Oryza sativa Japonica Group: one gene and its partner. Each later gene encodes a partner of the first gene's protein in a complex. Links are inferred from orthologs where the notes say so. Each region holds a gene or a part of one and is shown on either strand. Other genes may lie near its edges. The genes, in order: protein TIC 22, chloroplastic; protein TIC 20-v, chloroplastic.

Evidence for each region.
Region 2: protein TIC 22, chloroplastic (region 1) and protein TIC 20-v, chloroplastic share a complex: the UniProt entries of both Arabidopsis thaliana proteins name them as parts of the tic complex. The link is inferred for Oryza sativa Japonica Group from reciprocal best matches to the Arabidopsis thaliana genes Tic22-IV and Tic20-V.

Annotation. Positions count from the first base shown.
Region 1 is NC_089040.1:5,941,437-5,945,696, reverse strand, and holds the start of protein TIC 22, chloroplastic, read left to right. Parts: upstream 1-1,445; 5' UTR 1,446-1,623; coding exon 1,624-2,064; intron 2,065-2,149; coding exon 2,150-2,212; intron 2,213-2,650; coding exon 2,651-2,725; intron 2,726-3,481; coding exon 3,482-3,526; intron 3,527-4,260. UniProt on the Arabidopsis thaliana protein: Involved in protein precursor import into chloroplasts. Imported into the intermembrane space via the Toc translocon. May be involved in the import pathway used by proteins without a cleavable N-terminal pre-sequence.
Region 2 is NC_089036.1:30,722,156-30,725,495, forward strand, and holds protein TIC 20-v, chloroplastic, read left to right. Parts: upstream 1-1,389; 5' UTR 1,390-1,612; coding exon 1,613-2,296; 3' UTR 2,297-2,707; downstream 2,708-3,340. Other genes in the region: transcription factor BIM2, read right to left, coding at 2,786-2,842, 2,942-3,062, 3,146-3,293. UniProt on the Arabidopsis thaliana protein: May be involved in protein precursor import into chloroplasts. Not redundant with TIC20-I, TIC20-II or TIC20-IV.

The DNA of each region.
Region 1 (4,260 bases):
GATTCCACTCTCTATTTTTACTCTCGTTTCATCGATCACTGCGGGATTTGGAGAAATTATGTGTGATCTTTGTCGATCTCTTTAGGCCCCAATTTAAACTGACCATCGATAGCTTACTAACAAAGGGGAATTCAATTGGTGTTTGGTAAAGGCTATACTAGTATAGATTTTTAGAGGTTAAAAAAGTAAGATAATATCTAAAACGCAATCGATGATTGAGAAAATGGTTACTTACACTAATCATTAGTTAATAGGGCCAAGATAATTTAGGCACCACAATGGACAATTTAATGATTTGGCACTTTATTAGTCCGCAGTACTTTAATTGTATTGGTATTTATAAGGATGCTATATAATATCATAATGAGTCAATGATAATAATGGCTAAGTATGTTTGCGAAAGCGCATGTAGCATAGTTGTTACAAGAGTCTCAGTAGCACCTTAGGTCCTGGGTTTGACTCCCCATGGAAGCAAACTTTTCAGCATTTAACGGCTTTGTGCTTTCAGTGGTAGGCGACGTACCCGTCGACAACGAGGCGCCCGTGGTGATTTCGTCAATCTCCAGGATGCATTTGCCGGCCCAGTCTTCGAAGATGCTCATAGGGGTAAGGTTTGCGTGCGTGCGTTCATACTCATTTGAACAGTCCTCATATTTGCCTCATCTGTAAAGCTACTTGCTGGATCTGAGGGCTTTCAAGGAGACTGATTAATTTGTTTGGACTGAAAAACAACAACCGTTGGATGGTAGATGGACAGTGCACGCACATGATGTTACGTTGTAGCTCGATCCGATCCACGTCCCGTCCTCTTCCTTTGCACGCTGGCCAGCACATGATGTGTAGAGGTAGAGAGACGGTAGTCACCCACTTACCCTTAGATCTCTGTTTTTCTGAGGGCTTTTCAAGAAGTAGACTGATTAATTTGGGCTTTTTAAGAAGGAGACTGATTAATTTGTTTGGACTGAAGGCAAGAGAAACAACAGCCATTGGATGATAGATGGACAGTGCACGCACCTGACGTTACGTCGTAGCTCGATCCGATCCACGTCCCCTCCTCTTCCTTTGTGCTCCCTCCCCGTGCCGCCTGTGCCTCCACGACGATGAGGTGCCAATGCGGCAAGCAATTGGACCTCCACCTAAGCAAGGCAAGCCGCGCTGGCCAGCACATGATACGTAGAGGTACAGAGACGGTAGTCACCCACTCACCCTTGGATCTCTGTTCTTCCCCAGACAGCGTGCGCGGAGTTGAAAAATTTAGGGGCGAATAATTCCAATTCTATTGGTGATGCTCTTAGAAGCTAATTTCATCCTCCATATTGTAAGTTGTAACTAAACATATTTTCACTGAAAAAAATTGATAATTGAGCTTAACATATTTTCACTGAAAAAAAAAATGATAATGGATTGGCCGAAGCAAAACCCCCCGACCAAACCCAACCAAGGCCACACCAGTTGCAGTGCAGCACGACTCCACGAGGCCAGACGGTGCGGCTCGACCGAATCCGCACGCCGCCCGCGGCCCGCTCCTCGGCGACGCCGAGCAACACGACACCTCCGCGCGCCGCCATCCAAGTCGTCCGTCGCGTCGCGTGCCGAAAACCCAGCAGCAACCAGCCAACCACGATGCCGCCGCCGCCGCCGAACTCCTCCTCCTCCTCCTCCTCCTCCTCCTCCCTCCCGCTCGCCGCCGCCCCGATGTCCAACCCGTCGGCCCCCTCCTCCTCCTCCTCCTCCTCGTCGCTGCCCCCCAACCCCCTCGCCGCGGCCTCCTCCTTCCTCCACCACCACCTCTCCCGCCTCGCGTCCCGCTTCGCCGCGCCGCCGCGCCCAGCCCTCGCTGCTGTGACGGCGTCGGCGGCGCCCCCGGGGCCGCAGGGCGCCTCCGCCTCCCTCTCCCTCGCGCTCGCGCCCGACGAGGTCGCGCGCGCGCTCACCGGCACCCCCGTCTTCACCGTCTGCAACTCCAGCAACGAGTTCGTGCTCGTCTCCGACCCCGCCACCGGCCTCCGCTCCCTCGGCCTCCTCTGCTTCCGCTCCGAGGACGCCGACGCTCTCCTCACCCACGTATCCTCATCTTCCCATCTGTTATGCCTTTTGCTGTTTGATTTGTTCTTTTCGCCCTAATGGTTTGGGAGTTTGTGTGGTTTAGGTGAGGATGCGGCAGCCGGTGGTAGGGAGAGGGGCAAAAGTGGTGCCGATTACGCTTGATCAGGTGGGATTAAATCGATATTTTGTGATCAATTTTGTCATCACTCTTCTAGGACCAACTCTGCATAGGAAGAGTTATGGAGCATTTGGGTTTATGCAAGAGTTAAATAGGGACATACAGTTGTATGATAATTTAGTAACTGAATGACATATTAACGAGTAGCAAAGTGGGACCTGGATTTCTTCCAAGAGCAAATCAAGGAAAGCTGCCGTTTCTTATGTGCTGCCCCTTTTACCTAGCTTAGTCTATCTTTTCTTACAACACCCATGCTTTTCTTGCATATTCATGCTTGAGGGTTCTTGGGCTTAGGCTAGCCTCGTTGCAACTTCACTCGTTTCTACTTCATTCAATACAACTAGTATATTGCTTACATTTAACTATGCTGATTATTTTTTATGTTTTACAATGTAAATATACCTTAAGCCGTCCTTCTAAATGCAGGTTTACATGTTGAAGGCTGAAGGTATTGCATTTCGGTTCTTACCTGACCCTCTTCAAATTAAGAATGCGTTGGAGGTTAGTTCTTCTCTGGATTTGTGGCTCTTTGCTCCATCTTATCTATAAGTGGATATGTTTAGTACGCCCATCTGGCCATCATTCTATCTCACTAGAAAAGTGGAATTCAGTTCCTCAGGTTGACAGCATTACTCCTTAAAAGCATCAATGCAGCCATTGCATCTTCCAAAATTCCAATGGACTCCTTATATACCAATTTTACTCCCATTTAATGTTTTTAACTATTTACCAACAGTCCGAGATCTTTGCAGTTTGGGTATGTGTGTACCTATTTTCTGTATCACCACTCAAGACTTTACACATGGACTTGGTTCCTTGTATATATTATTGGTAGAGAAGTTGTACTGTCACTAATCATTGCCTTCACCAGAATGCACAAATGATATGCATACACTAGACAGATGCACGCAGAACACATGGAGTGCTGTCACATGTCAGCCTATTTCATAAGGAGAAAGTCCCTTCCTTGCAAAAGAAAAAAAAACATATGGGAAGGTGGCATTTTAAAATATAGATAATCTGTATTGTTTTTCCTGTTTCTTGGTGTGGACTGTCCACATTCAGTGGTTAGACTTCAGAGTATATCATGGAATGTACAACTCATGCCTTTTCACTCATGAATCATGAGTATATCAGAGCTGACGTCTTAACAGTGTATAGTATGTAGATTATTGCTATCTTATGCATTGTTTCACTAATGTAAGAATGCTAACAAACTTACTTCAGCCCAGTGACGATTATCCTTCGTTTTTTCAGTTAAAATCTGGCTTAACTGCTTTTGATGGTGTTCCTGTTTTCCAGGTAATACTCATGTCTGTATTATTTACTGAAAAATATACTTTTATGGAAAGCATTGAGACATACCCTTTGCGATTATTAAATGTATTTTAGAATATTAACAATAAATGTATTAAAGTTGATTTGCTGATTAATATCTTGACTCAGTATAAATTACTCGTGAACTTAATATTACCAAAGTGCATGGACTAATAGGTAGGTTCTGAAGCTATCTGCTTGTTCCTGTTAGTTATTAGCCCATGCCTATTTATTAAATGTAAATGCATGAACTGTCCTGTCATAATTTCTCGTTATTTGTCACATGTGTGCATCATTTTGTGAAGCTTTAGCCTTATCTTATTGGCACGACTTGTTGTACTAAAATAGGACTAGAAGATAAACGGATAGTCAAAAATTTTCAATTGAAAGTTTAGGCGTGCAGTAGTCTAAACCTTTTCATGGAATATCAGATCTTCTGATGTTTCGATTGTCATAGAACAAGGGAAGCCCTGATTTTCTTATCAAGGAAAAAACTGAAGTACACAGCTTTAGGTCCATCAACGCAGTTGGTTACATGTTTATTGCAGTATGACATGAAAAATCACGTGGAATAAAAGCATCATGGCAGGAGAGAATGCTTAACTTTCTTCCGGAGATGCTTGAACACTTTGTTTCAAGATATTGTGCCATTATATGTATGATTTTCCAATTATTCAGTTGTTTGCAGCACTGGACTTGTGAATTTGACAGGCTGATAG
Region 2 (3,340 bases), on another chromosome or scaffold:
CGTTACCGATCATGGTTCATGAAGGAAATTGTTATATATCAGGTTTTTCATACTTTGTGCAGACATTACTGCTCTTGCATCTTGAATTTCTCTCCGTCTCCTGAAGTTTTACCATGTAGTACTACCAACTGTTTCAGCAGTCTGAACAGATGCTGCTGGTTGTTGGGTGTATATATGCTCTGATTGTGTATTATAGAACACCAGAATGCACGGTGATGTATCATTTTTTTTACCACGGCTGTGCTGTGGTGGTGTATCGAAGTAATACATGCCTCTACTTGTTAACGTGCGAGTCAGTGCATCTTGTTTTCAGTGGCGATTAAGATAGGATTAGCACTGATCCAAGAGCGACCCAGCAGTTAAGTGGTCTTGTCCTACTCGTTATCGTCTCATCGATCGTTGGAGCACTCAGCTCGAAATGCAGTGAACCACCGCGAGAATAGCCGCTAGAGATGCGCGCGAATCTGGCACGGAGCGCGCGGCCGAGCCGAGCCGAGCCCATCCCACAGTGCACGGGGTTGAGTGCCTCGTCGTCTCCACTTCGTTGCCGATCTCTACTCGTCAACGCGCGCGAGGGACTCGACGTGCAACCGATCCCTAGGCGATCGCTCTGCTAGACTGCTACGTTCGAGCTCGTGCATATGCGCCTGGTTTTGTGCGATGGATTGGAGGATTAACGTTGACGCAAGAGCCATCTTGGGATCGAGTTTAATTTAATTTTACTAGTGCTCCATTCGACGGGAAACGTGCCAGTAGGAGGCAATGGGGATGAGATTGATGAATTTTCATATGGCAGTATGAGGCAATGGTAGATCCGCAAGCTGCATAGCTCGTGTAATTAGTAAACCATGCTGGTAGATTTGTAGTCTGCTTTTGTGCTAGTGAAGCAGTCAGTCAGGTAACTCTCGGGTGTGGAACGGAGGGAAGATTAACGTGCCACGCTGCTGCAGGCTGCAGCTGTTCTCCCCTTTCTTTTACAGGACCATCCAAATCCATTAAACGAAAATCACACATTATTACAGTTCGTACAACGAAAATCACTCCATTTCCTTGTGTGTGTCAGATCGCTGCCAGCCAATTGTCAAGTGCCAACGGCTGAACGACACACTACGGGCATTACGGGCCGCGCGCGCGGAGTTCAGCTTGAGAGGCGTACAACGCCTTAGCCCATTACGAAATCGCGATGCATATGGTACGACGAAAGCCTGGTAGCCCACGCAGGAAAACCGGCAAAACGCGTCTCAGACGAGGCCCAAACAGTACGCCTGATCCTTTCGGCCCAGTGAACAGCACGGCGCCGCAAGCTTTGGCCCATCTAATGCTCTTCCTGCCTGCCGCGGCGCCCTCGCCGTTGCCCTCCCGCACCAGGCACCACCAACCAATCTCCTCGTCTCCCACTCGGCCACATGCCCCACATCCCACCGAAATCTGGAAAAATCTCCACGCTCCCAACCCCGCTTCGCCTTCGCCCCGGTGGCCGCAGCCGCGCGGCGCCACTGCCCCCCAACCAGCCAAACTCCCCCACCTCACGGCACTGCACCCGCAAAAATCTCAGCTCCCACCCGCCGCGCCGCGCCGCGCCGCGCTGCTCCCCCAACCAAATCCCTTCTCCATGGCATCCGCCGTTTCGCTCCTCCTCCTCTCGTCCCCGCGCCCGCTCCGCCGCGCGGCGCCGGTGCCAGCGCTACGCTCCCAGGCGCGCCACCCCTTGCTCCTCGGCCACGCGGGCGAGACCGCGCTCGGGGTATGGGCCACGCGCGCCCGCCTGCCCGCGCCGCCGCCGCGCGCCTCCAACCCGAACAACGACAACGACAACAGCGGCGCCGTGGAGGCGCCCGACCGCCTGGTGGCCGCCGTCGCCTACCTCTACCCGTTCCTCGACGGCGTGCACCACGGCCGCTTCCTCCTCGCGCAGTTCCCGCTCTTCAGCACCCTGCTCAGCCCGCTCGCGCCGGCCGCGCGCCTCTTCCGCTCCTCCCCGCTCACGCCCTTCCTCCTCTTCCTCACCCTCTACTTCGCCGTCGTGCGCAACCAGCAGGCCTTCTCCCGCTTCGTCCGCTTCAACGCCATGCAGGCCGTCGCGCTCGACGTGCTGCTCATCTTCCCCGACCTCCTCGTGCAGTCCTTCGCGCCCTCCACCGGTGGCGGGATCGGCTTCGAGCTCTTCCAGAGTATGGAGAGCACCGTGTTCCTCTTCCTGCTCGTCTGCCTAGTCTACGGCGGGGGCGCGTGCCTGCTAGGGAAGACGCCGCGGCTGCCAATCGTCGCAGATGCAGCCGAGCGCCAGGTGATGTGATGAGCTTTTGTCAAATCTTGCTGGTGAAAAGGAACAAAGGAAAATGATATACACATCCATCTCGATGCCTCATTGATGTTAGTAGATCGCAAATTCACAAGTTCAGTTTAGTACAGTGATTATTTACAGCTGTAGTAACCAATTTAATGAATGGAGTTACGGAAGGTTGGTACAATGGCATTACAAAATTTACAATCAAGTGTATGAACGAATGAGTTGAATTGGGAATTTTTAGAGATAGCAATACATATACTCGCTATAGAATATGGAATTCTGGACTACATTTACAGATGATGAATGAGAAATTGGGGAGTGTCCTCAAGACCTCCCCTGAAGGAGCTTCAATGGTATATGAATGGATGCTTAGGTTAGTTAATTGTTGTTGCAATATAAATAAAATAATTGCATCAATTGGGGATTGTGGTTGCTGCTACCAAGTTATTGTCTGAACTTGATGATGTCTGAATTTTCTAGTTTGGAGAAAAAGTTCTAGCTTTTATTGCACCGCCTCTTGGTTATTTGGATGGGCTCTTCATCTTCATTGATCTGTGATGTGAAGTCAGGACAAAGGTACAAAATAATTATTAAGCAGACGATCTATATGTTCAAACATCATGAATAAATCAACTTTGTAAAGCTCTATACCTTTGAGTTGTCACTAGTATTATCTCTTGCTCGTTTGGCCAGGTTGATCTCTACAGCTATATTAGCTTGAGATGGATCTAGTCCTGACTTTTTAAGAGCTTCTGTCAATCTGTTGAATAATCTGTTGCAAATTGAAGTAGTATCCTGTTAGTTACATATTGTGCTAACTTTAGTCTTGAAGTAACAAATGGTTAAGGAACAGACCCTTGAGAGTAAGCGCTAGAAATACTATGGTTTTCATCGTGAAGGGTCTGTTTCTCATGCTTGTTCGGCATTTTGTTGCCTGGTTCAGACTCTTGGCGCATTGTTGACATGCTCAGCCATGGTGGCTGATTGCTGGGTGTGCTGTTCTCTGCGTTTAAAAGACATTAAAGTTAGTGGATCTAGTTCTTAATTACA